Linked DNA regions of Tribolium castaneum. The protein of the gene in region 6 interacts with the protein of the main gene of each other region in a biochemical or structural test. Links are inferred from orthologs where the notes say so. Each region holds a gene or a part of one and is shown on either strand. Other genes may lie near its edges. The genes, in order: Top1, REG, ftz-f1, cact, nop5, lwr and Mitf.

Region 1 (4,258 bases), on a different chromosome or scaffold from region 6:
CTGCTATAGTACTGCTTTATGGATTATTCCTTTTTTTTATTATTCTTAGGTGTGCCGTTTTAAGGAATTTGCGAGTTCGAAAAAAATAATGAACCTGAACACGAAGCAAAAAAAATATTAAAAAAATAGATTCCACCTATAATTTGCTTGTACAGTGGGCCGCAAAAATATGGAATAATCTTATTAAACAGAATTTAAAATTTTTGTCTTGGTTTTCGAATAACGTCGCTATCGACACATTTTTTTTATGAAAACCTCTAATTTTCTTTGATCGTTTCAATAAATTACATGTTACATCTTATCTTACGTTTAAATACTACCAAAAAACAACACAATAAATTTGTTATTTCACCAAATGATCATGGAAATAGATTTCAAACAAAATCTTAATAACTTTTTTTGTTAAGAGTATTTTTATCAGTTCTTTCGTTTTTCTTTTAAATATATTAAGTAGACAACTAAATTTAGAAGACTTGCCGCTCACTGTATACATTGTACAAATATTTTATCTATTATATTTGAAGCTTATTCCTCTTTTCTGAAATATATTTGAAAAGAGTTCCGGTATTCTCAATATTCAAGCGTTTATCGTGGGCGATGTCAATCTCATATTTTTCAGGATTCGTTTCTATTGAAATCAATACGTTTTCAGTAAATAGTTATAAAAAATTGCTACATTTATGATTTTACTTGTCTAAAAGTAGAACTGAATAGCATTTCTAAATAATTTTAAATGCCATTTAAAGCATACAAAAAAATAGCAGCTGAAAATAAATTCTAGAAGTTCGGTTTTCAAGACGTCAGCCGAGTCTTATTTGAAAATAATGCCACAAATCAAATCTCTGTTTAATTTTTTACCAAATAGAAAAAACCCGAAGTCGATTGACATTGCAGTTTTGCTTTCAGGCGCTTTAAAACGTTTACACTTTAAGTAAATATTTTAAAAATTGTTGGTCTTAAAGTGGAACGCGGAACATTTTTCTCTTTGATGTAAGGAGTAAGCTATTTCTGGTGCTATTTCTAAAAGAGGTAACAAAAGGAAACAATTCGAATGAGTTTTCCCAGAAAGTCAGGTAAACCTGACAATAATAGAAGAAATTTTTGAAACAACAATAGGTAGCTTTTCTCAGCTCGAACTAAATTTACACGTGTTATGTGGGAGGAGGTAAAAAAAGTGTATTCGATGATCTTGTTCGAAATATTACAATGCAACAAGTGCACAATACTTTACGTAACCGTCCCATTAAACATTAATTCCAAAAAACGGTCCGCAAAAGCTGTGCATGAACCCAAAAGTGCGCTCATCCTCTGACTCATCATCGATTAAAGCCATGAACTTTCTCCCGAATCTCTGCAATAAATTTCAAGCAGCTGACTGTGACATTCGTCTACTTTTCAAGTTCAAAGTTGAACGCACGAAATTCAAATCCTGGCGCGCTACAGGTTATTGCCTCTGAGTGCGGCGCGTGCGCACTACGCAAAATCGCGTACTTTGTCATAAAAGCGTTCGCTGCGTTTCCCCAACGAGGATTCTAAGTGTTTGCCTCGTTCAATCTGTGAAGCGATGGAAGTCGAAAACGGAGCAAATGGGGAAGATTCCAGTCCTGTAAGTACAAAATCTCGCCTAGAATTTAATTCCGCGAATTTCGGCTCGTCCACATTTTCCCGCTTGTGTGAAATAAGGGCGCTTTCCTCGTGCTCTAACAGCGTTCGAGCGAAATTTTTCTAAGTCCCAAAATGGCGTCAGAGACTAAGTCCCACGTTTGTGGCATCAGGTCTAGAATTTTCTCGCGATAAACCGAGATTACGCATTTAAACGGCTTCTTTTCGCTGCTTTCGGTTCAATTGGGGCGAAATCGAGGGGGGCTCCATTTATAATTTGCACGTTTTTTGGTGCAGAGCCACAAGATGAAGGAGTATAACAGCGATACGGCCCAAGTGAACGGCATAAACGGCTACTCGGACAAGAAGAGCCACAAATCGGAGCATAAAGACAAGCACAGAGACAAGGACCGGGAGCGAGACAAGGAGAAAAGTAAAAGCAAAGAGCACAAGAGCTCGAAGGATAAAGACCGGCATAGCTCCAGTTCGAAGGACAAAGACCGAGATAAGGAACGCCACAGTTCACACAAGTCCTCAAGTCGGGACAAGGAGCGCAGCGACAAGGACAAACACCGCGACAAGGACAAGCACCGGGACGAGAAAAAGTCCTCGAAGGACAAGGAAAAGGAGCACAAAAGCTCGCACGATAAGGACCACAAGTCGAGCTCGAAAGACAAGGAGCGCAAGGATAAAGACAAGCACAGCTCCTCGAAGGATAAGGACAAGGACCGCCACAGCAGCTCCAAAGACAAGCACAGAGACAAGGACAAGCATCATTCCAGCTCCAAAGATAAAGACCGGAAGGACAAGAACAAGGAGCGGAAGAGCGAGAAAGAATCGGAGAAATCCTACGGTAATTTAACTTTTACCTCATTTGCTAAAAAATTATTTCCAGAGGGCGTAAAGCATAAAACACATCTGCAAAAATGGCCAAGGGTTTGTATCCAAATTTTCCTAACTAAAATTTTAACAAAAGTAGTGGCTATTGTCAGTTTTTGTAGGTGTTATTTTTTGCTCTAGGCCTAAACCTTGCACTCTTTAACTAAAAATGTTAAGTTTGAGCACAGTTTCATCGTATTGTTATTGTTTTATTGTGTCCATAGTTTCGAGTCAGTTTGATTTGACAAAATTTTTGTAAATACAAATTTTTAGAACGCTCGAATCATTATTTTCAACATGAGGTAAATAAAAACCTACTCGAGTTTTTAATCACTGTAATGGCTTGCAGGTATGTAGATAAGGCATGTTTGAAAAATGTAACCATCTTCGTAATTGTGGACGAAAATCAATGTTTTTTGACGCAAGCTGGTACGTAATTTTAATTGTCTTTAAGTCACTCACCGACAGGACTAATACGGTTTTTGAACGCTTATTTATGCATTATTTAAACAAAAACAATATTCGAAGCTGCTCATGCATTTTTTTGCTTTATATTATGCGAAATAACGAAGACATTGTATTGAATTTTAAAATTTTTGTAACATCCTTTAAGAAACGTGTTTTATCCAAGACATTGAAAAACCAAGCTCACGTCTCACTTTGAAATGCAAACTACGAATGTTCGAAAACAATTCTTATTTTTGCAATAACTAGATTTAGACCATATGTAGGTTGTTTGTTCATTTTGTTGAGGAATAAATACACGAAGACCCGAAACAACTTTCAGTAATTATTGAAATAATTGATTTAATTAATTTATTATGTCGTTTGTTATTCTAAAATGAGCGGTTTTAAGCACCTTGACATTTTTTATCAGTGTTTTAAAATATCAAATGATATATTTGTGATTGTCCCGCATCTCGTTGATGTTAATTAATCATATCTTGTTCATGTGTGATGGAGTCCTTAGTATATAAAAAAAAATCACTTAATCCATCATTAGATCATAATTGGCAACAGTTTATTATTTAGTCAAAATGTTTATTTAATTAACAAATTGTGAATTAAAGGTTTCTTTGCATTTGCTGTAGATATAAATATTATTCTCTGTAATTGGGTTAGCAATTACTCTTTGATATGCAACAATTTGTTAGATAGTTGTTAATTACCAGCAGATTAACTTTCGTATCTTGTTACGATTTGGAAGAAATAAATTAAAAGAATCGGTTCATTACATAATAAAAATTAAACAATTCGGAGTCCAATTTTCTAAAACTTGGCCAAAATCCAATTGGGACAAGTGACAATAATTTTAACTAACCGTAAAATCCAATTTTACACATTTTACGCGAATGGAATGTTGATTAAACAATTTTTTACTGTCAGACGATGAGAGAGAAAAGAAGAGTAAGAACCATTCAAAACATGAAAACGACGTGGGAAGAGAAGATTCCGCAAGAGAGGATTCGGTCGATGAAGATGATAACAAACTCATCATCAAAGAAGAGCCCGAGTCTCAAGATGAAGTCGACGACAAAAATGCTTCAGCTGCGAGCAGCTGTGATTACAATTTGTCTCAGTTTAAATCGGACGAGTCAAGATTTGAAGATAGCACTGCTGATGTGAAGCAGGAAGAAGACAGCGATGAAGATTTGCCTCTGGTAGGTGTTTCATTCAAGTTTATCGTCTTTACGTAAATAAAAATCATACGATTGCTAAGGACAATAATTTGTAATCTTTGTAGTCATTAATGTTCAATTGTATTTTCAGCGAAAAC
Region 2 (3,102 bases), on a different chromosome or scaffold from region 6:
TAAAAAACTATTGGGAATTTAGCGCTTTTTTTGATTCCAATCGATTCCCCGGATCATTTTGCATAGGTATGTTCGGTTTTTTGGAGTTTGATTTTTTCAATTTTTGTCGAGATCTTGGTCGATTCTGGGTATCCGGATCATTAATGAGCAATAACTTCGGAATTATTATATTGTGTTTTTTTCTCGGAAAGTGGAAGACTTAGAGCAAGCAACAAACAAAAAATCATCTCATAACGATTCTATTTGTTCGTATTCACTCTAATACCTACCGTTAGAAAACTCAGTTACGAAAAGTATGTACTAGTGTAGCATTTGGAATAAAAAGTCGTTTTATAATTTATTTATGAAATGTATTATTTTAAATAAAAAATAACCCCAACAGCTACTCACTGCTAAGTGTCACTACAAGTTCCCTTACAGATAAAAAAACTCACAATAACTTTATTACGAAAATATTGTATAATACTCATTGTCACGTACACACTTTACAAAAATCAAAATTCGAAAGATGCATTTATTTATCTGTTTTAGTACAAAGATTCAGTAGCATTAGTGGAACGTGGCTTCTTGATTTTGTCGAGGTTTTTAATAACTATGTCGTGAAGGGCACAATACCGATTTCGGATCTCGCACATGACCAACCACAAACTCAAGTACTCCTTCTCATCCAGCTCCTGCACGGCCCTTCGGTAGTCCTCTATGTGCGGGTATTTCGCCACTTTCGAGATGACCTTGGCTCGAGAAATGAAATATCGCGAGATTTGATCGAAAAACGCCGCCGCCTCCGATTCCACCGACTGCACCTCGGCCAGAGTGTCCTCCTGGATCGACACCCCGAAGTTGTTGCCGTCTTCGATTTTCGGAATCATAAAAGAAATCCACATTTTCATCTGCAAAAAAATTCACAACACTCGTCCCTCGTCTCGCAACGAAAATACTTTAACATAAGAGCATCATTTCTTTTAGAATATAAAATAAAATACAAAAAACAAGTGCCGCTTTTAAAATACGTCAAACACTAAATTACGTATGTAACTCCGAAAAGGCTCAGAAATATTGTTTTTTCTGAAAATTATCCGTGTTCACAAATTTAATTGTATTATCTAAATTTTTTATGATGTATTTGCTTGTCATTTAAACAATTAAAGGCAGTTAAGAACATTTTATAAGTTCCGATTGTTCACAGGAATGTGCATTGAGTAGGCTGTGGAATACTTGTGAGACTAGATCATTCAAATTTTGGCATGGTTACCATGCCAACTTACAGTATTGGAGTCTTCAACCAGTTTGCGGATGTGGGGCTTCACAGCCTCGACCAACTCGACCAGATGCTTGTTAGTGGGCACAGCCCCCGTGGGCAGGATCATGACCTTGGTGCCGTCTTGCGATATGCTATTGTCATACTTGGCCTTCTTGGCTGGAGGCAGGTCCGTGTGGCTGTTGAGCAAAATGGGGTCTGGCACCGGGATGTTCAGCTCCTGGTGCACGTCAGTGAATTTCCGATTTTTGAACTGGGGCGTTTCTAGCAAAGCGTTGAGCTTCACAATCGTCGCGGGGAACCCCTTAAGCAGCAACTCTTCGGCCTCTTTCTTCAGACTGTCTTTGTATTCCAACACCTGCGAAAACGCAACTATCAACCACACACAAGGGGGCTATCGAGACCTCGTGGTAGGCCGACTCCTCGTCCCAGCCCTCCACGGAAATGGAGCTCGAAGAGGGCATCACTTCAAATTTTGACCAGTTTTTGACAAAACTGTCACGAAATCGTGCGGAGCTGAATCGGCACGCGCCTTTTTTCCCACTCACCTTTTTTGCATCTGCCATAATATACAATTAGAACTAACTTTTGAACTGTTCACTTGAGTTGACTTAACCTAAATGTTTGGGGCAATGGCAAAAGAAAGGACGAGAATTGGGCCTAGCACCAGGACGCGATCCCCAATCCACCAAATCAACAACTAATTGAATCATGCAACAACTTGTGCCAGATTGCTAAAATTTGATCCCACTGATCTGGAATTTCTATACAACAAATATTTACAGCGTGATTTCGCGATTTGCGATTTAGGTTGGCAATAAAACTAGCGACCAAATTGGCCTCGAGTTGCCAAAAAAAAATATGAAACAATTCTATAAGTTTTGGTTTATCTGGTTAATTGTTAAAAAAAATAAAACGTAAAAACAGTCCGCATGCAAAAAAAAGGGCTAACGCCAGGACGCGCTCGTTGATTCACCAAAGTCACTGAACGCGAAATGCGCGAAAATTTCGAGTTTGAATTGTTTGACGCCCCTGTCTTTGTTTTTTGATTGAAAATGTCAGAAGACAATCGAAGAGTTTCCACTCATGTCGTACGAAAATTCATAAACTCGGCTATTTACGTGGAAAAGCCGCTTTCGGCGAATGTGTCAAGTGAAAACACTTCGATTGCGGGAAAATCCTCGCTTGAGGATTTTCCGGAAGTAAAGACCAAACGTTGCACTTGTTCTGTAGACCAGAAGACGTGTCCTTTTCATGCCGATTGTCCTCCTATTTTGAAAGAATCAAGAAAAGTGCTCAAACTGCCCGAAAGTAAGACCAAAGTGTCGCAAAATTCCAAAGTCGAAATCAAAAAATTGATCAAGAAAGAAGACGAGACGAGGAAGAAAGTTCAGAAGCAGAAAATCGTCGATGAAGCGAAAGTAAAAGAGAAGGAAAAGGAAAAATTGCTCGAGCAAGAGAGAGATAACTTTAGGAAATGGTTGATGAATAAAAAAAAATTGGAGGAGGAGGCGAAACGCAAGAAAGAGAAAGAAGAGGAAGAAAAGCAGTTAAAAGAGTTGGAGAAGGAGAAACGCCAGTTGGAAAATCAGCTCAATTTTCAGCTCTGGTTAAAAAAGAAGGAAGAAGAGAATTTGGAAAAGAAAATTAAGAAACAAATGGATTTGATCAACGAGCTGGAACGCAAAGAAACACAGTTGAAGGACAATGAAAAAGCGTTCAATGAGTGGCTGAAAAATTCCAAACATCGGCAAAAACCAATCCCTTTGAATAAAGGACTTGAATGTAATTTACTTCCAGGTTTAGGGCACGTTTTAATGATTTTTTTCAGCCCTTTGTTCGTC
Region 3 (3,500 bases), on a different chromosome or scaffold from region 6:
AGAAATAATTTGTGCTAATTACCAAAAACTGGGTTACAAACTTATTGGCAAAAGGTTTTTTTTTATTTCATGTTTATGTTTACAAATATAACTTGCAACGAAAAAATTACCAAAAAAAGAAATAAAAAAATTGTTTGATTTTTTAATAAAGGTAAAGTACCTACATGTTTCGGCATTACTTAACCATTAAACTTGAAAATATCCAGGTCGATAGATTATTATTTATTGAATTTTCGGTTCTATTTTTTCATTTTCTGTTTTTTTTTTTTTCACATATGTGTTACTTTATATTCTTTTGAGTATATTATGAAATCGGCATTTAAGCAAAAGAAATTAGATCCAAATTTGAAATAGTTGGTTCTTTGTAGGTGTTTAAAAATTCTCTTTTAATTACATTCTCGATTTTATAGTTTTATAGTTTATAGATTATAATGAAAATGTTTTGTTCTTCTATTTTTCGAACTTTTCGACCGAAAAATTCATTGTTGTTTTTTTAAATCCTAAACCGTCTTTTTCAACTTTAAAATTATCAAATTATTATTATTATTATTACTATTATCATAATGTGAAAAATAAAAACAAAAATAATTGTCAAAAAAATATAAAAATGATTATAATAAAAATGTTTTGTTCTTCTATTTTTTGAACTTTTCGACGGAAAAATTAATCGTTTTTTTTTAATCCCAAACCTTCTCTTTCAACTTTAAAATTATCAAATTATTATTATTATTATTATTATTATTACTATTATCATAATGTGTTTTTAATCCCAAACCTTCTCTTTCAACTTTAAAATTATCATATTATTATTATTATTATTATTATTATCATAATGTGAAAAATAAAAACAAAAATAATTGTCAAAAAAATATAAAAATGATTATAATAAAAATGTTTTGTTCTTCTATTTTTTGAACTTTTCGACCGAAAAATCAATCGGTTTTTTTACTCCCAAACCCTCTCTTTCAACTTTAAAATTATCAAAGTATTATTATTATCATCATAATGTGAAAAATAAAAACAAAAATGGGCCCCACAACTTAATAAATGCGAGAAGTTATTATCAAAATCCTGGAACCCAATTAAAAAACAGCGGAAAATTAAAACACTTTGTACAGGGTGTTATTTGTAATAAGCCGTAATACTTAATATGAATGAATTAAGCTATTCAAACTTAAAGAAACTTATCAAAAGTTATTGAATTTTATTTTTAAATGGTATAATTTTTGTAGACCTTTTTTTGTTAACAGCTTTTCAATCTGCATGCAAATTAAATAGAATCATAACCAATAATCTTCTGATGTCAAAATATTTGTCAACAAACACCATATCCTGCTGAAGTGTTGCAAACAACAAAAAAAGTTGATTTTTTTTTGATTAATTTGTAGTATGGGCAAAGTTAAACACAAAGCCTAAATACTTATTTGAAAATACGAATAAATTATAAATAAATAGGAAACACGAGAACAGTCAAAATTTGAAATAGTGCTAATAGATCTAACAATTTGTTTTTTCTTGTTTTTTACTAATAGCCTCCACAAATTACCTAAAAAAATTCAGATTATATTTTTTGACATTAAAAATTCTCAGCCATTTTTTTTAAAACTTGGCATTTAGTCTTTTTTAAAAATGTATATTTTAATGTTGTAGAACATTTTTGAAGGGGACTTTGAGGGCCTTCTTGACATAAATTGTTTTATAGCTTTATGGCACCAATTAGTTAAGAATCATTGGCTTTGGTTGAAATTTGAAAGCCCATTTGGTTTAAAAAACAAGTTTGTCCCTTGTAAGTCTTTTGGAAAATGTACTATTTTGGAGTAAAATAATAAAATGTAAAAAGATACAGTCGATATGTATTAGCACAGTTATCACAATTTTTTATGTAAATATGAAATAAAATTGTAGGTTTTACTACATTGATTTTATTCATTTGTGTTTAGGTTGACAGAAAAAAATCTTTCATTAAAGAATAACACATTTTTATTTTTTTTTTTTCGAAAAGTTTTCATAGGCCAGGGCCTGAATATTGTGTAAATTTCGTCACAGTCTCCAGAGCATTTACAATATATTTTATTGAAAGTGTTGTTGTTTTATTAAAAGTTCATACCGCAGAAATGAAATTGGTGGGAAGTAAAAAAAAACGACTTATGTAGATTTCTGCTCAGATGAACCGGAAATATGTTCAACCTAAAAAGCTTTGAAAAATTATACATTTATTGCTTTTAGTAAATAATTTTCGAACGAAATTTCAAGATATATATAGGTTCGGCGTATCGAGGTCTCACTGTAATATTAGGATTAGAATATATTTCATTTTGTAATCAAACAATTTTGTTAAACAAACAGTTTTGCTAAAAAGGTAAAAAACAAATATTTGCTGCGCAAACCCCGCAAGTATTTTCAGCACAGAATCAGCAAATATTTTTAAATTTAAAGGTTTCACAGAACATTACTTTCAAGTAATGTTAAACGTCCGTACATTTAAAGAAGAGAACTTCCGAAGCCTTACTGTTTATTTCTGTAGCTTTTTGGAGTTAGAAATGCAAAGTAAAGTCTTCATATGTTTTGACTTAACTTTCTTCAACGTAATTAATAAAAACGTTAAAAATTATTTTTTTCGGGGCTGTAAAAGGGCAAACTAAAGACTCAATTTTAAATTACCAACCACCTGTTGAGTAATGTTGACACAATCAAAATCCCCCCAAAACAGGGTTTTACGATAAAGGGTTGACAGTCTGATTTATGACATTTTTTAGCTAAACTGTAAGCTAACGAATTGTGAATGTTGAATGTGAAAATAATAAATGCGTGAAAAATGTGAACAACCTTAACATACCTCTAAACACACAAACGGTTGGTAATTTAAAACTGAGGCATTTTTTCGGGATACGAACCTTGAGATCCTTAAAGAACACAGAATTCCTCGCCCAATCGACTTGAGAGAACAGATTTTGGTCCAAAACTTTACACATAAGTTCAAATAAGTCCACTTCACACTGATTATACGTTTGGTTCTGGAGTAAAGTATACAAAGAGTTTTGCCACTCGCGATCGTCGATGGCTTGCACAAAGTCCCTGATAAGCGGCGACACTTTACTGGAGGGCGGCGCGCTGCCCCCTTGCACCACCGTGTCGAACTGGAACGCCTTGGGGCTGAGCGAGTGGGGCGAGGTGGTGGTGGAGTTGGCGGAGCCCCAGAGCTTGTTGTCGGGCCCCATCACCATGGAGGAGGGCCCCCCGGGCACCCCGACGATCTGCAGCGCCGGCTGCTGGCTGGACGCCTGCTGCACCAGGTTGGAGGTGTTGACCTGGCCCAGGGCGACGGCGATGGGGCTCGGCGACGAGTCGGGCGACGATGTTAGAGATGACACTTGCGGAATTTGGATTTCTTGCTTGATGTGGATGTTGGCGAAGGGTGATGTTCCGGGCTGGCTGCTGTACATGGCGTCACCGAGAGAGCTTCCCCGTAGCGTTTGCGCCGCCAGCTGTCGTTGTCGCAT
Region 4 (4,149 bases), on a different chromosome or scaffold from region 6:
TTTTTTGGCAATGTTAGGGCATTTTATTTGACGTTCAACAAACTTAACCTTAAAAATTTGGATTTGTGAACTTTTGTGGAAATCTCAAAAAAGTAAAGAAAAGAACTAAGCTTTCTCTTTCAAATGCCCTAAAGACGATTTCAAAATCTTTCCAAAATTTTTTCATGGCCTACTATAAAGAAAAAGCGAAATGTTATGTTTTTTAATATTTAAAAATAATGTATTACACAAGTAGACATATCAAATCAGAAAAAATAAGCTTTTCAAAAATATCACAGCCGCCTACAGTTAAACGAATGGTTGAAAAAAATCGCTGATAACATTATTAGATTCTCTGTAAAAAAGTGTCTGGATAGTGTCTTTGTTTCAGATGTGTATCTTTAATAATAAGGAAGCAATGAATTTTTTAAACGGACCCGAAAATGTGCCACTAGTTTTTCTCTAAACCTCTTGGTTTCGGAGATCCCCTATTCGGACATCCAAAATATCACTCTGTACATATTAGTGTTTCCCAAAGGATTCATGTTTTTTTACAATATTGTTATTTTTATTATCTCACATAAAGTAAAAATAACTGCTAAAAAAACACTGATTTTGATGCATTTTCGGAGTTCGTTATAACCGGACTCAAGTGTAGTTTGAGTTTTATCTCTTCCAAAGTTACCAATGGTACCAATTTCGCAAAGTTTAAATTTACCAAATTTACAAATTTTCTCAAAATTTTCTCATCATAAAAATGCTCCCCTGTAAAAGGGTCTTAATCAACTGTCATCTGATATTAGTAGGCTGTGTCAGTTTTGATATTTTAACAAAAATTTGTTGATATACCGAGTTGATAATAAAGACAAGTTACGATAAAGTTTTTCAAAATTTAATGAGTATTTGTGTCGAACAAATTAATTTAAAATTTTGGAACACATTAAAACGAATTGTCAACAAAATGTCAAAAATGACAAACAAACATAATTAAAAAAATGAAAAAAAAACAATTCTTAGTAATGAAATGAACCGTGATTCAATTTTATTTTCTTAATCTAAAAGAAGTTAAATAAATCATTGCGTTTTTTAGGCCATCACATAAATGCTCCTGTGTAAAGTGGGTTTAAACATTTGTCAAATTTGGCATATCTACTTGTCATTTTTGACGGTTTTATAAAACCAATCGTAAAAATAGAAAAAACTCGTCAATTTGTTAGTGTCATTCCACCCTGGCGCTCGAAAATCGGTCAAATCCTCCCCTCTTCTAATTTAAACTGGCGCCACGTCACAGCGCATGTCTGGGGAATCCCGAACTTGTGTTGGGTGTCCACCACACGCGATCGCGTTCATTTCTTCAACCAGTCGCCGAGAATCCATTTTCGCGTGTTGACGTAACGAACCCAACGACCCAAAATCGAAAAAACCATCGTCGAACCATTTCCAACCACCCCTTGGTCCAAGTCCCAAGTGTCTCACGGCTGTCTTTGCAAAAAGTCGCGTGTTGTTTTGGGGGCCGCCATTAGAAAGTAGTGCGTGCGGACTTGTAGCCATTTTGTGTAGACTGCTGTACTTTTAAGTGTGTTCGCTTATTATCGGGAAAATGTCCGGGAAACAGGATAAGAAAATCCCCTCAGTTCCAGATGAAGGCGCTGTGAGCGAAGAGGAAAAGTGCGCCCTTGACAGCGGCTTCATTTCCGGTGAGCTCCGCTCCGAGGAGAAAATCACAGAGGAGTTGCCCCAAATTGAACAACCACAAGAGAACTACATGCGTCTGGACAGTGGCGTCGACTTGTCAGAGAGTTTTTCCGGACTCCATATCAAAAATCCGGACTGGAACGATCTCTCCTGTGCTAAGAGTAAAGTGCAGGAACCACCTGTTGAAACACCAACGACTGCCAAAGACGACCTCTGGAAACAGTATTTCCAACAGGATGAGGATGGCGATACGTAAGTCTTTAGTTTATCGAAGGGAAAAACTAAATGATAGCCGGACGACCTTTGACCCACTTGTTATCGCTTAGTTCATTCAGTCTTCAAACCAGTTGAAATGAATCAAACAGTGGCGCAGCGAAATTTTTTGCTATTTTCATTTTTTACTCCACCATCCAGGTGGTTGTGATTTTGGAAACAAGTTGGCAACACTGATTACCACATTTAAACGTCACAATTTGTGGTTAACTTTCATTTTTTACTCCACCATCCAGGCGGTTATGATTTTGGAAACAAGTTGGCAACACTGATTGCCACATTTAAACGTCACAATTCGTGGTTAACTCATAACAATTTTTTATGACGTTTTAGGAAACGTATCAAAGTTGACAAATTTCAAATTAAGTTGGCAATGTCATAGTTAGATTGGCATTCGTTTACGATCAGTTGTAGCAATAGATTTTTTCATTTGTTTATTAAAAATGAAAAAAGTCTGATCATCATTGTTGCCAATTTAATTTCAATGCTTAGTTTGCTTTTACAAAAAAATTAATCTTGTGTGAAATCATCGAAACGGAAAATTAAGTTGGCAACATTAAATAAGACCTGAAGTTTTAATTTGGCAACATTGTTAAAATTAAGCGGTCCAAGTCGTGAATCAGTGTTGTCTAAGGTTTTTCGGGTTTTTTTCAAAATTATTTAAAATAATTAATATTACCAACTCAATTAACAATAAAGGGTGGCCAATTTAATTTCAGTAGTATTATAGGTCTCTTACTTAGTTGCATTTCACAAACAAGTTAATCTTGATTCTGTAAATAATAAATTTGTCCTCGTAAAGACTTCATTAATTCTATTTGTTTTGACATTTTTTCGTTTAAAATTACAATTTGCATATGGCATGAGTTGACACTGAAAACGCAATTATCCTTAATTAACAAAATGTTTTGTTTGCAACATTGATTAAAATTTAAAGAAAATATGGAAAATTAAGTTGGCAACATTAAATAATAATCGGAAGTTTTGATTTGGCAACATTGTTGAAGTTAAGCGGCACAATTGTGGATCAATGTTGCCAGAAGTTTGTTTTCACAATTATTTAAGAAGGTGGCATTTAAATATTGCCAACTTATTTCATACTAAAATAGAGAGAAACAGGTAAATAGTAGGTATGGTTTGGTAAGTTGTCATTTGTTTTCACAGACATTGTTGCCAATAGTTTTGTGAAAAAATTGCATTTCTCACTCAACACATTGTCTAACGTTTAGAAAAGGTAAAATAAAATAACATTTTAGCCTTATTTTGTGATTTTTTGGCTTGGTTTAGTAAAGTGTTGCATAAAAAAAAATGAATTTTTAGCTCAAAATTTTAATAAATTTTGGTGAAATGATTTTCTATTTACCTATTTTTAACGAAATTTTGGAACATAATTGCGTTTCTATGTGTTAATAAAATCACTTAAAATTAAGTTGGCAATATAATAGACTGTCAGTTTTAATAGTAAATTGACATTTATTTACGATCGGTGTTACCATAGTTTTTTTATTACTTATTTTTAAAAATTTTAAATTTTAAAATTTAAAAAAGTCTCATATCTGTTGTATATTTTTTACATTAATCAGAGTTGCCAATTAAACATAGATTTCTTTTGTAAAAATCGTAAAAAGTAGTTGTATCACGTGTTTAATTATTATTGCAATGAAATTAAGTTGGCAACATTAAGTAATCTAGGAGTTACTGGAAATAATTAGGTTGTCAAGTTAGCCTCAAATCTTCAATTTTTAATTTGGCAACACTGGTCGTAAAATACTGTAATAAGTTGTCATTCATTTGTGACAAATAAATCACTATTGCCAATAAATTTTCTTATTACAGTTTCAAATTTACTTCGAAATTAAGTTGGCAGTATGGTATGTCAAACTCCGTGATGCCAATAGATTTTTTAAAATTATAATAATTTATAGCATGTCTTTGTTTCGACATTGATCAATGATTAGTGTTGCCATTGTAATTTAAAAATCATCATAGGCTCTTTGCATTAAGTTGGCAACATTGAATTTAAATTAACATAACTGTGTTTTTTTGTTAAGAAACTTTTATTTAACAAGAGTGACAATTTTATAGTCAATTGTCATTTATTTGCAACAGACACATAGAAGTTGCCAGTGGTGCCAAAAGATTTTTTATCACAATCATCTGAAAAAATATTAATGTTGCCAACTTAATTTGCACAAAAAATGA
Region 5 (3,879 bases), on a different chromosome or scaffold from region 6:
TATCCAATGAAAAAAGTACCGTGAATTTTTTGTTTACTAGAGCGACTCATGTTAAAGAATAAAAATAAAGTTCAATGGTCATAATAAAAAAATGCAAACACTTCTACGTGAAACATTGTTTCAGTATACCTTTCATTCTATTATGTTTACTACTCATAGTTTTTTCTATTAACTTGATGGCATCTTGAGCTTTCTGTCTGAGGCTACGTTTGTTTGAATCGCCCTTTATAAAGTCTAACTCTTCTGTAACAATCCAGGGAATGAAAATGACTGGCTCCCTGGGTCCTATAACAAGTGTGATAAATATTTATCCATTGTTACACATTTCTTTACCTTTAACAGCTAATGTAACAATGTTAGCAATTATATTCAGCTCTGATAAGAATATATTCGTGTCAACCACAATATAAAACTGACAAGAACTCGTAATTTGTGAATTTAAAGTATTATCACTTGTGCTTTTGGACTCCTCAATATCAGTCTAAAAAGACAATTAACTAGAATATTAAACTGAATAATTAAATCAAGAGAGTATACAGGACACCATTCCATATCCTCTTCTGAAACAACTGCTGTCTGTTGAAAGCCAACAGCAAATGGATTTGGAGATTCAGTGGTAAACACATTCGTTTGTGTTAGAAACTCTTCTTTAAAAATGAAAGGAGTTCCAGGTTCACTGTTCGAACATTCCCCTGAACTCGAGGCACTTTCCTTAATAAACAGTTTTGTAGACACTTCATGTTGCACTGAATCAGTTGGTCGTTTCCGCACACAATTCTTGTCTTTAAATTTTGGTACAGATTGAGCAGATTTTGAAACTTCTTCATTTAAGCTAGTCCTAAGCCTCTTTAACCTTTCATTAGCTATGTTCTTTTTCGGCGTAACACTAATGGTACGTTTCGTTCCATGTTTTAAATGACTATCCTCTTGAACAATTTTTTCCGGAAAAATTTTAGGATTCCTCTCATTTTTTCGTTTGGCTACGAGGACTTTTCGTTTGTCTGACATTTTAATTTTTAGCAAAAAAAACTTCTTTTAATTCATTTTCAAATAACAATTTTCTGTTTTCTCGCAAATCAGCTGACAACAACAACAAAACGCCATCTTAACTTGATCACGTGATATGTACAATGCACCCGAATTCGACCTGTTGTTAAGATCGACTTAACCGAATGTAGGTGAAACTGAAACTTTTTTACAAGTAACCAGTTAACGCCAGTTACTAATTACAACTCCCACACATACTAAAAAGAACTTGGGTTTTTGTAAACTGGTGTCAAATAATCTTAAATCTGCTTTATTTAGATTTACATTGGAAAGGCACGTGGGGGAAAGAACCAAGAGTTGGTAATTCTTGGGGAATTCGTGCGAGTCGACAATCTCGCCGACGCGCTAGACCTCATGGTTTCTAATTGTTGCCGGTTTTTATCGTTAATATTAAAAATTGGTGGGTTTTCATATAAATTGTTGTAATACAAAGTGAAAAATGTTGGTCTTATTTGAGACAGCGGCAGGTTACGCGCTGTTTAAGGTAATTCTGCAGTAAAGTTGTTGACAAACTTAACCTCAAATTTTCCATGCTTTCAGCTTCTGGATGAAAGCAAATTAAAAGAAGTTAACAATTTGTACCATGAATTTGATTCACCCGAGTCGGCAGGAAAAATGTACGACCTGTCCTAGTTTCAAAATGCAAACTTATTAGTAAAATTGTTTTAGTGTGAAGCTGAAACATTTCGAGAAGTTCAATGATACCACTGAAGCCCTGGCTGCCACGACTGCAGCCGTCGAGGGCAAAGTCTCGAAAAGCTTGAAGAAGGTGCTGAAGAAGCACATCGACCAAGAATTGCAGGACAAGCTGCTTGTGGCCGACGCCAAGTTAGGGTCTGCCATTAAAGAGAAGTTCAATTTACAATGCGTTTCGAATACAGCTGTCCAGGAGCTGATGCGGTGCATTCGGTCGCAATTGGACAGTTTGATAACGGGGTTACCTAAGAAGGAAATGACCGCGATGGCGTTAGGTTTAGCTCATTCCTTATCACGGTACAAGTTAAAATTCTCGCCTGATAAAATTGATACAATGATAGTCCAAGCGGTTTCGTTGCTTGATGACCTCGATAAAGAACTCAACAACTACATAATGAGGTGCCGCGAATGGTACGGTTGGCACTTTCCCGAGCTTGGGAAAATAATCACTGATAACGTTGCGTTCGTCAAAACTGTTAAAATCATCGGAACGCGTGATAACACCGCCAGTTCTGACCTCTCCGACATTCTCCCCGAAGAAATTGAGGAGAAAGTCAAGGAGGCAGCTGAAATATCAATGGGTACTGAGATATCCGACGACGATATTTTAAACATTCAGAACTTGTGCGACCAAGTTGTAGAAATTTCCAATTATCGCACCCAGTTGTACGACTATTTGAAGGCCCGTATGATGGCGATGGCCCCAAACCTGACAACGTTGGTTGGGGATTTGGTGGGCGCTCGTTTGATTTCGCACGCTGGGTCTTTGATAAACTTGGCCAAACATCCGGCCTCCACGGTGCAGATTTTGGGGGCTGAGAAGGCGCTATTCCGAGCCCTCAAGACCAAGAAAGACACCCCGAAGTACGGGTTGATCTACCACGCCCAGTTAGTGGGGCAAAGTAGCACCAAAAACAAGGGGAAAATGTCTCGAATGTTGGCGGCTAAAGCAGCCCTCGCAACTCGAGTCGATGCTCTAGGCGAAGACGGGAATTTCACGCTTGGGGCGGAGCACAAAGCCAAGTTGGAAGCACGTCTTAGAATTTTGGAAGAGGGGAATTTGAGGAGAATTAGCGGGACGGCGAAAGCCAAGGCCAAGTTTGAGAAATATCAAGGGGTTTCGGAAGTTCAGCAGTATCCTGCTGCTGCCGACTCGACGTTACCTTCGACTTCGAAGAGGAAGAGGTCAGAGTCGGAGCAAGTGAAGGAGGAGTTGAACACGACTCAGGAGACTCCCAAGCAGAAGAAGAAAAAGGTCAAGACGGATGAGACCAATGACAGTATCAAGGAGGAGGATGAGGACAGTGGTGAGGGCCAGAAGAAGAAAAAGAAGAAGAAGAAGGCGAAAGAGGAAGCGGAGGAAGAGGTGGAAGCGGAAGTTAAGGAAGAACCTGAGGTGACGCCTGGGAAGAAAAAGAAGAAGAAGAAGTCCGAGAGCGAAGCTCCGCCTGAAGTTGTTGAAGAGCCAACAAGTGGAAAAAAGAAAAAGAAGAAGAAGAGCATTTCCAAGGAAGATGAATAATTTAGCGGAAGGTTTTTTATTTTTTACAATAATAGACATTCTTATTATTAAGGTGCTGTTATACAACAGCGGTGTAATTTGCTTTGCAATAGACTAAAAACAAACAATAAGAAATTGATTTACCACGTTTTCCCACTCACCGATAAATTCAGACACGGGGTCGTTCTCCCCATCTCCTCTCATTGTTCCCGTAATTTCGTCATTTTCAACCATTGGCATAAATAAGTGGACGAATTCGGAGCTATAAGGGGGCCCGATGGTCTCCAAAACCTACAAAAATTGCATTTTCCGGTCATTTTTAACAAAGTAACTTACTTCCGTTACAAAGTAACGAATCAGGGATATGTCCGTGTCGCCTTTTTGCCAACACTGTTTTATGTACTTTACAACGGGTACCACACATCCAGCACATAGCAAATTTACCATTCTGTCAAGGACCATTTTGCGCATTTCAAGCTAACAAAAAAAAAACTGAAAAATATCGTAAAAAAATTGATAACTTACTTGGACTAAAATTTCCAGTTCGTCTTGCTTGGATTCAAACAACCTGATTAGTAAGTCGAGTACTTGATTATGGAGAAGAGGGTGACAAGTAACTACTTCATCCAAGAGCG
Region 6 (3,959 bases):
TAAAAATTTACCAACAATTTTTTTAAATTCATTGCTCTGAAAACCTGATGCTAATCAAAGCCAGTAGATATACTAAAGTAGCGACACGGACCTTGACAGGGCAACAATAACGATTATACACTCTACAGATGGCTCCACCATCAAAATTCAAAAACGTACGTCAAAAATGTCAAGATTTTTTCACGTTTGAAAAATTGGTGAATCAGAACAATGAATTCGGTGATCGTCTTTAATTTCACCCTGGTTATTACAGTTTATGTGTACAGATACCATGAAACCTTCAAACTTGTGCTTCACTCACGTAAAAGTAAATCAGATCGTCCCTAAATTCAACTGAACATTGCAATGAGAAAGGCTTTTAGAATGCGCAGAATACAGCAACTCTTATGGACATTTCGAAGAAGGTGCTGGCGCTTCAACAGTGAATTCATTCCTTAAAAGAATTTGAACTTTGTATTTAACGAAAAAGCCAAAAACACGTTTCAAAATAATAGTTGTTTGATTTAAAAAAATTGTGATACTTACATTTCTAATTTTAATAAACTCCTCTCTAAGTGTTTTTACAGTTTATCGTATGTAATTACTCCAAGATTTTAAATTGGTCGATTTATTTTTTTTTAATTAAATTTAATTTTTTCCCTCAACACTATTAACAACTGCTATGAAACCAAGACATTTTTCGCAATAAGAATAGAAAATGTTTTCAATATTACCCGAGAGGTAAACCGCAGAGGAAATCAGTGTACAAAATTGAGTAAATCAAGAAATTTTAAGGAAATCACTTTAAAAATTTAGGGAAAAATCAGAAGGAATCATGATTAAATTACAGGTGTACAAAATTTGGGGTACGGTTTACACCTCGATATTACCTAAGAAATAGAAATAATACAACCTGAATTTCTCTTTATTATTTAAATGTTGCATACCATAGTTGCTGTAAATAAGTGGCTATAAAAAGTCCACCAAACTTCGATGCGCTACAATTCCCAGATTTAGATGCATTAAATTTTGTGAAACGAAGGTCAGTGTAAGCAGAGCGGTCTTAAATTCTTTCCCATTAGGACAGAATCTAATAATTTAGAAGAATTTTCAAGGAAGTATTGTTTAAATCTACCTGAAATACTTATTGAAAATTTGGTATCTTAGAAATTTCTCTTTCAAGTTGGTACCTAACACTTTATGTTTCTGAAACAATTTTTGTTTGAATGAGTTTCCAGTATTCTCACACAGACGTGCTTCGTAATGTGGACGACTTTGAACAGTCTGGAGGCCCTTTTGTTTAATGTTTTTGGTGTCGATTTATTATTTACGTGATTTAAGCACAGGTTTGAAAGTTCCATGAAATCTGTTCATAACCAATAACCACAGTAAAACTACAGATGAACGCCAGAATCACTGTGCTCTTTACCAATTTTTCAAAAGTGAGAGAATCTTGACAGTTTTGACGTATGTTCAAAATTACTGACAATTTGGCGAACCTTTAAAATTACAGCGTTATTACAAAAAATGTCGAGCCTTGGAAAACTAAACTGCCTGTTTAAATACATTCTCGATTTAAATCTATCATCTAATGTGACCTTTAACGAATATCTCTTTAGAGCATCCCCTTTAGCAATTTCATTTAGTGAAGATTAAACGTAGAAACAGAGACAAAACGCACTTACTAAGGCTTTTCAAGGCTACGCATTTTATGTAAATAATGCGGTATATGTCGAATTTCGATAGTTGCGCCCTCTCTAGAGTATATAATCGTTATTGTTGCCCTGTCAAGGTCCGTGTCGCTACTTTAGTATATCTACTGGCTTTGATGCTAATGGATCAACTGCGCCCTCTGGTGACATTAACGGAACTATCGAGGACAATAACGCTTTATTTGTACTAATTTGTATTTCGTATCCTAACCTTTAGATGTCCGTAGTGTAACCTTGTCCATTTATTGTCTTAGTGCCTTTTCTTTACGAAACTAAGTTTTCATTTTCATGGATTACTAGATACGAAATTTCCTTGATCACGTGATCACAATATCCACAGCACTCTTGACTACGTCAAATGTAAACACCCCGTAAAAAAACCACTTACCAGTAGATTGTGTAGGCCTCTGCTTGTGCTGGATCTTTAACATTGGGTTCATTCAACAAGTCCTGAATTCCGAGTAAAATCTGCTTAATAGTAATCGCCGGTCTCCAATCTTTCTCCTCGTCTAACAACGACAAACACACCGTACCTGACGGATACACATTTGGATGGAACAACGGTGGTTCAAATTTACATTTTGGGGGAATGCTTGGGTACTCATCTTTGAACAACATGCGTAATTTGTAATTTCCACCCTCCCATGGCGTCTACACAACAATGCGATAACCCAACAATTACTAAACAATGCAACAAACTTACCCCTTTTTTACCAGGAATTGAGCACTCCCAGTTCATTAGATTTAGAGAGCCATCTGGGTTTTTCGACGGTCGGGCCACAAATCCCTGCGGAGAAATGGATTACATGAGGGCAATTTTGTAAGGAATTACTCACAAAAGGATGTTCTTTGCGCCAAGCTTTGCGTTCTTCGGCGAGACGAGCGGGAGCAATTCCAGACATCCTAGAACTAAAAATCAGGCTCTACCTCAAAATTATCGCACGAAATGACCAAAACGTACTCTAAAAGTGGGCACTGGGGTATTTAATGGGGCCTTATTCAAACTCTAAAGGAAAATTTAACGGGCTTCGGTGCTTTCTTGACAGTTGACAGACAAAAACTGGGAAAACAGGTAGGGGAATTCGCGCAGACGCGACTTGTGTTGGCCACCCTGTCGCCGATTATTTGTTCCAGAACAATTTATTTATTCAAACTTTTCGTGTATGATTTTAAACAAATTTAACGAATACAAAAACCCGGATTTGTGTAATAATTATTTGGCGGCAAAAACATTGGCGCGAATTTGATTAGTTCGACGTCACTTGCTGCAAATCAACTTTTGCCTGGATCTTGGCATTTTCTTGGTCAAAATCCTCCTGAATGAGTTTCAAGGCTGCAAAAAATTAATAATTAGGTTCAATAAACCGTAAAATACAAGGTGGCTCAAAATTGACGATTTCGGAGTTCAGAACACTAAAGAGAAATTAATTCAGTAGTTCAAATACAGAAAAAAATAAAGATTCGGGGCTTTCCCATAAAGATACATTGGTTTGAGGGTGCACTTTAAATTGCGTTTTCTTCAAATACAGGCTAAAGGTTTCAGTGCTTATTGTTATTTATGGTAAACTACAGGCTGTTCCGTCTAAACCTTACTTTAGAAGTATTGAAAGCTCTAATAAAGAAATTTTTTAAAAGTTGGTAGTCAATCATAATCCGTTAAGTTCTGCCAATGAAAATATTTTCAAGATGGCAGCATTTCCGGTTATACCGGAAGTCGCTGTTAACTTTCTTATTTTAAATGAAAAGCTATGTTTTTCACTGCGTTTTTGGATTAGTTGAGTTATTTTAAGAGTTTTCCCTATACCTAAAATTTACCGTTTTTAGGATATTTAAGATTTTTTGAAAATTTTTGGATTTGCACCTGTCACTTAAAAAATTGGTAACTCGGTTAGTTTAGCGATTTGGAAATCATATTAGGAGAATTAAAAAAGAAGGCCTTTATCTGTTCTTTGGTGTGTTTAAAATTGAAAATGAAGTTAATAAACCCAAAAATTTTAAGGTTAAGTTTGGACAATTTCAGGTACCTATAACTTAATTATTTGTTATTCTTTTTTAGAAATTTGAAAACGCCAAAGGAAAGTTCTAGGCTTCCTCTTTTAAATAAGCTGAAAAAGATTTAAAATCTTTTAAAAGTGGTAGAGTTATCAGTTTTTGAACTGGAAGGTGCAAATCCAAAAAAAAATTAAAAACATTTTGTAATATTTTGTAAACGAATAAATTTAGGTTTAGTGAGAGCTTATGAAAAGAACCTTAAAATAACTCTAGTAA
Region 7 (4,284 bases), on a different chromosome or scaffold from region 6:
AGTAATAAAAAATGCAAGTACCATTACGAGTACGAAAAAACTGTGATGAGTTTTTAATCATTTTAATGGTCAGTAGCGTTTTACAAAATCCGAAACTTTTATTTCATTGTCAATTTTGTTTGTTCTTTCTTATTTTCTCTTATTATCGTTATTAATAGCAAAGAGTTGGCCTTAATTTTTGTGTAACGTAATAATCGGAACTTAATGGTGTAAACCAGTGAATAAATGCGGTTGCCCAACCTGCGCAAACTTACCTCAGAGGTGCTGGTGGCGCCTGAGCTGAGCGCTGGGGACATGGCCACAGCCTCAGGACTAGGGCACGAAACTTGAAAGGGGTGCGAGTGAGCAAGGGACTGCTGCGGCATTAGGGGGGCGGAAGGTACCGGAGCACCGGCAATTCCGGGCGCGCTGTGCGTTTGCGGCACCGGATTTTGCAAATTGTTCAAGAAGTGTGCATTGCCCGGAGCTTGGAATGATTCGCTGAGATACTGCCTCACTTGACTTTTCTGTTTCTGTATCACATGGTACCTAGTAGGATTTGCTAGTTTTGTTTGAACTTGTAAAACTTGGGGAGGAACCTCTACCGCTAAACTGTGCAATGGCACTTTCATGGCTGAGGCTGGCGGTCTTTGTTGCATGGCTTGAGCTTGTCTTGCTCGTTCTTGGGCCTGTCTTTCCTGCTCCATCAGCGCCTGGTCGCGCATCAGCTGCAGCTTCAACTGCGTTCGGGACAATGGGGTGGCGGTTTTTAGGTTCGGCGGACTGGAACAAACGGGCAAAGTCACCCCAGTACGCACACCAACGTAAAAATTACGTTAATAAAACGCAAAAATATACGCGGAAATAACGTTTTTTTAGTAACTATTTAAACGATTTTGAAAATATAAAACCAGTAATCAACGTCAACAATTATTTGGTCAATAATTTGGTTTTTAGACAGCCGTAGGACGGTTAAGATTTTAATTGCTTTTTCTATTTTCAATTTTTTTAATATCAGTTTTAAAATTTTATAGCGATTGCCACAAGTAAATGCAAGAATAAGCTCAGTTTTTTACAACGTACGATGTTGTAACGTTAAAAAAACGTTATATGTGTGCTTACTGGGCTCACGAGTGCTGATTTCATTATTAAAACATAAAGTTAATGCGAGGCAATTGGTTCAATTACTTAAACAAATACTAGCTTTTTAAGACCTAATTACGCCGCTTCATTAGCAAATTTTTTAATGTTTATTTTTTTAATCCCAAATCTGATCAAAAATATCCACAATTTTAAAATTCATTATCTATGACATGTAATAGTTTTTGTGGTGTTTCCTGAACGGCTCGTATTGGCCGGGTTTATGGTTGGGAGTGGATTCGCCCAATAACAACCAATAAGAGCACTTTTTTCAAGTGTGACCCTAAACCGGCTCCAGGGCGGGCAAATCAAGAATATGTGTATAATATTTACTGTTGACGTCAATAACACGTCCCATTAAATATGCAGATGATAACATATGGGGAATTGCTCTAAATTGTGAGTCAGCTTAACAGGCACACAAAGAGAAGAGCGTTTCACACAGTCCCATTTATTACATTATGAATTCGCTTAATTGAAAATTTTCACACAACCGGGCTTAGATTCGAAACTATAATGGCATTGACAAATGGTAAAACGATAAGTAAACAATTTAATTAGCAAGTCCACATCTACAGCGTGACACAAAATAGTCAAATACTTATCGCGCTACATCCATTAATTAATGATGTTATCAAATATTTTGTTTAAGTTGAGTTTCGTTGCAATATCTTCCCAATTAATTAATTTCAGCAATCAGGATACGATTTTTCGTGTTTAGCAACGTTTTAAATAAAAAATTTTGAAATCGTTTATACACATGTGCGTAACAAGAAGAGCATGGGGGCGGGGTTAGTCGTAAAATAAGCACAATAAACAATGCGTACGAATTTCGATATGTAGTCGAGTTTCTAAGAAGTGATATCGAGAATAACATTATCTGTAATTGGAGAGAATAAGTTAAAAAGGTTACGGATTTTATGAGCGCGTAGAACGCATTGTTGAATTTGGGGTTTTGCGTCTATAAATGGCTTGTTTTGGGAATAAATCGATACCCTTGATAAATTTATTGGCGCGCTATTTGTCCGGCCGTTGCCAAAGCGAACGCACGTGTGCCAAAATGATGGTTCTTTTGTCCATTGAAACGTGTGGCTGTAAGAAATCGATTTGGGCGAATTTTATGAACAAACTTGACATTTTAATTTGGTACACGACAGCAATAACCAGTTCTATCTTGCATTGCACCATGGAAAATAAATTAGCATTCCTTCTCTAATTAAAGGGAGCAAAGCTGAACAGAGTGAGAAAAAAATTCTATCTCAAAACCGTACATCCTTTGATAAGCTCGCTGGATGAGTAATTTTTGCGGAGGAAATCCTTTAGCGCAGAAAGGTGATGTTTGGCAGTACTTCAAAAAGTTTAATATTAGTATAGTATTTGGTTTATTAATAGCAAGCGTAAAATTCTTCGACATGATTTTGTTTAGCCCTTTTCCTTGCCTCGGTGACACAACTATGCATTAAACAATTAAATCAGCGGCTCACGTGAGTTATTAGGCTCCGGATAATTATTCTTTGGCTCACCTTTCGTTTACAGGCATTGTTTTAGAAGTTAGTTCGTAAAACTCTTGATTTTTCGGAGTACCCAAGAGATCATCGAAATCAATCGCACTTTCTATATCGAAATCGTCGGACAAGAGAGCCGACAGATCGTAACCTAAATCAATACCAGATTCGGCCATTTTTCACAGCTCAATGCACAGATTTGTTTAGGATAATTAGGTGGTGTTGGTCGGTGGCATATCTCTTCTAATCCGCCGACGGACTGTTTGGACGACCGACAGCCAAACAGCAGCCGAAGTTTATTAAAATCTAACTCGAGACTGAGTTTCCCTCATAACAATGTCATGGACAAAGTCGAATTTGCGCACGCAACTCTCGCTTAAGTGGGATTGGAACGCTCCCATCCATTCAAAAATCGCGCTACAAGCAATTTTTGCGCGATTTATACTCAGCTATTTTACAAAAATGACACATTGCGAAAATGAAAACCATCCTCATTATTGCCTTGGCTACGGTTTTGGCCAAATTGGCCCACTTTCACGAAAATGGCGCCTCTTTAGACGAACAATGGGAGAAGTTTAAGGTAGAAAAAACAGCTCAATTCAAACTCAGCCAACATTGTTTTCAGCAATCGTACAATAAAACCTACTACGGATATCTCGATACTTCGCGGAAATTGGCCTGGCAATCCAACTTGGAGAAAATCAAGAAGCATAATGAAGAAGCCGACAAAGGGCTGCATTCCTATTACATCAAGGAGAATGATTTAAGCGACATGGTAAGCTTTCTTGTTATATTTCCGGATTGCAAATCAAACTTTTGCGTTACTGCGTATTCAGTTTTAATGCCAGCTTTGCCTTTCGGGGAAAGTCGTCTGAGCTCCTGAAAGGAGCTTTCAAAGCTCGCATACGAAAATAAATAGGTCGTTAGTTTGCTGCTTAGAACGTTATTTTTGTAGAGTACACAGAGCTATTTGCAAAAAATGGTTAAGCTGACCAAGAGCACCCACCGCAAGGTCGACCCTGAGGTGGTGGGTGACTTGTTCGAGCTCCTCCACCACATCCCTGAAGAAGTCAACTGGGTGGAAAAAGGGTTTGAAACACCCTCATACAATCAGAAAGACTGCGGCTCTTGTTACGCCTTCAGCATTGCCAGCGTCTTACAAGCCCAAATTTTTAAACAAACCGAAAAACTGGTACCCTTGAGGTAATTATTTTATGGTGGGAACAGAAGTAAGTTTGGATTGTAGTGAGCAGCAAATCGTCGACTGTAGCGTCTCCATGGGTAATTATGGTTGCGGGGGCGGTTCACTTAGAAACACCTTGCGGTATTTGGAGAAAGCCGGGGGGTTGATGACGTACAGTGACTACCCTTACTTGGCCAGAGTACGTTTTGTTAGTTATGTATTACTTGTTTTGACTTTTTTGTAGCAACAAAGGTGTCGCTTTGATAAGCACAGAGCGATTGTAAACTTGACCACCTGGGCGGTTTTGCCCGCAAGGGATGAAAGGGCTTTGGAACTAGCTGTGGCTAAAATCGGGCCCGTGGCAGCGTCCATCAATGCAAGCCCTCACACTTTCCAACTTTACCAGTACGTAATTATTTTTTTTGTTTGCTTATTTATAAAACTATCGCAGTTCTGGTGTGTACGACGACGTGGCCT

Evidence for each region.
Region 1: the proteins of lwr (region 6) and Top1 form a complex in vitro, tested with the Homo sapiens proteins (2 studies listed by BioGRID, with this or other methods). The link is inferred for Tribolium castaneum from reciprocal best matches to the Homo sapiens genes UBE2I and TOP1.
Region 2: of the proteins of lwr (region 6) and REG, one has a biochemical effect on the other in vitro, tested with the Homo sapiens proteins (2 studies listed by BioGRID). The link is inferred for Tribolium castaneum from reciprocal best matches to the Homo sapiens genes UBE2I and PSME3.
Region 3: of the proteins of lwr (region 6) and ftz-f1, one has a biochemical effect on the other in vitro, tested with the Homo sapiens proteins (2 studies listed by BioGRID). The link is inferred for Tribolium castaneum from reciprocal best matches to the Homo sapiens genes UBE2I and NR5A2.
Region 4: of the proteins of lwr (region 6) and cact, one has a biochemical effect on the other in vitro, tested with the Homo sapiens proteins (2 studies listed by BioGRID). The link is inferred for Tribolium castaneum from reciprocal best matches to the Homo sapiens genes UBE2I and NFKBIA.
Region 5: of the proteins of lwr (region 6) and nop5, one has a biochemical effect on the other in vitro, tested with the Homo sapiens proteins (2 studies listed by BioGRID). The link is inferred for Tribolium castaneum from reciprocal best matches to the Homo sapiens genes UBE2I and NOP58.
Region 7: the proteins of lwr (region 6) and Mitf form a complex in vitro, tested with the Homo sapiens proteins (2 studies listed by BioGRID). The link is inferred for Tribolium castaneum from reciprocal best matches to the Homo sapiens genes UBE2I and MITF.

The regions. Positions count from the first base shown.
Region 1 is NC_087398.1:8,304,785-8,309,042, forward strand, and holds the start of Top1 (DNA topoisomerase I, mitochondrial), read left to right. Parts: upstream 1-1,458; 5' UTR 1,459-1,564; coding exon 1,565-1,606; intron 1,607-1,899; coding exon 1,900-2,455; intron 2,456-2,630; exon of another isoform or gene 2,631-2,778; coding exon of another isoform or gene 2,779-2,783; intron 2,784-2,830; coding exon of another isoform or gene 2,831-2,910; intron 2,911-3,867; coding exon 3,868-4,142; intron 4,143-4,251; coding exon 4,252-4,258. UniProt on the Homo sapiens protein: Releases the supercoiling and torsional tension of DNA introduced during the DNA replication and transcription by transiently cleaving and rejoining one strand of the DNA duplex.
Region 2 is NC_087395.1:26,223,515-26,226,616, reverse strand, and holds REG (proteasome activator complex subunit 3), read right to left. Parts: upstream 1,801-3,102; 5' UTR 1,723-1,800; coding exon 1,663-1,722; intron 1,617-1,662; coding exon 1,266-1,616; intron 891-1,265; coding exon 528-890; 3' UTR 501-527; downstream 1-500. Other genes in the region: coiled-coil domain-containing protein 34, read left to right, coding at 2,314-3,043, 3,090-3,102. UniProt on the Homo sapiens protein: Subunit of the 11S REG-gamma (also called PA28-gamma) proteasome regulator, a doughnut-shaped homoheptamer which associates with the proteasome. 11S REG-gamma activates the trypsin-like catalytic subunit of the proteasome but inhibits the chymotrypsin-like and postglutamyl-preferring (PGPH) subunits.
Region 3 is NC_087394.1:11,117,257-11,120,756, reverse strand, and holds part of ftz-f1 (nuclear hormone receptor FTZ-F1), read right to left. Parts: coding exon 2,895-3,500; intron 1-2,894. UniProt on the Homo sapiens protein: Orphan nuclear receptor that binds DNA as a monomer to the 5'-TCAAGGCCA-3' sequence and controls expression of target genes: regulates key biological processes, such as early embryonic development, cholesterol and bile acid synthesis pathways, as well as liver and pancreas morphogenesis.
Region 4 is NC_087395.1:1,382,329-1,386,477, reverse strand, and holds the start of cact (cactus), read left to right. Parts: upstream 1-1,349; 5' UTR 1,350-1,579; coding exon 1,580-1,926; intron 1,927-4,149. UniProt on the Homo sapiens protein: Inhibits the activity of dimeric NF-kappa-B/REL complexes by trapping REL (RELA/p65 and NFKB1/p50) dimers in the cytoplasm by masking their nuclear localization signals.
Region 5 is NC_087394.1:30,826,772-30,830,650, forward strand, and holds nop5 (nucleolar protein 58), read left to right. Parts: upstream 1-1,319; 5' UTR 1,320-1,486; coding exon 1,487-1,531; intron 1,532-1,587; coding exon 1,588-1,664; intron 1,665-1,716; coding exon 1,717-3,265; 3' UTR 3,266-3,323; coding exon of another isoform or gene 3,324-3,358; 3' UTR 3,359-3,379; downstream 3,380-3,879. Other genes in the region: transcriptional protein SWT1, read right to left, coding at 130-285, 334-481, 538-1,008; TH1 (negative elongation factor D), read right to left, coding at 3,324-3,358, 3,406-3,535, 3,581-3,721, 3,770-3,879. UniProt on the Homo sapiens protein: Required for the biogenesis of box C/D snoRNAs such as U3, U8 and U14 snoRNAs. Part of the small subunit (SSU) processome, first precursor of the small eukaryotic ribosomal subunit.
Region 6 is NC_087399.1:9,254,058-9,258,016, forward strand, and holds the start of lwr (SUMO-conjugating enzyme UBC9-B), read right to left. Parts: upstream 2,801-3,959; 5' UTR 2,653-2,800; intron 2,601-2,652; 5' UTR 2,594-2,600; coding exon 2,528-2,593; intron 2,479-2,527; coding exon 2,395-2,478; intron 2,343-2,394; coding exon 2,080-2,342; intron 1-2,079. Other genes in the region: transmembrane inner ear expressed protein, read right to left, coding at 2,939-3,024. UniProt on the Homo sapiens protein: Accepts the ubiquitin-like proteins SUMO1, SUMO2, SUMO3, SUMO4 and SUMO1P1/SUMO5 from the UBLE1A-UBLE1B E1 complex and catalyzes their covalent attachment to other proteins with the help of an E3 ligase such as RANBP2, CBX4 and ZNF451.
Region 7 is NC_087403.1:4,082,622-4,086,905, reverse strand, and holds the start of Mitf (microphthalmia-associated transcription factor), read right to left. Parts: upstream 2,801-4,284; coding exon 2,643-2,800; intron 763-2,642; coding exon 255-762; intron 1-254. Other genes in the region: CtsL4 (procathepsin L), read left to right, coding at 3,103-3,204, 3,250-3,399, 3,580-3,827, 3,871-4,006, 4,052-4,212, 4,259-4,284. UniProt on the Homo sapiens protein: Transcription factor that acts as a master regulator of melanocyte survival and differentiation as well as melanosome biogenesis.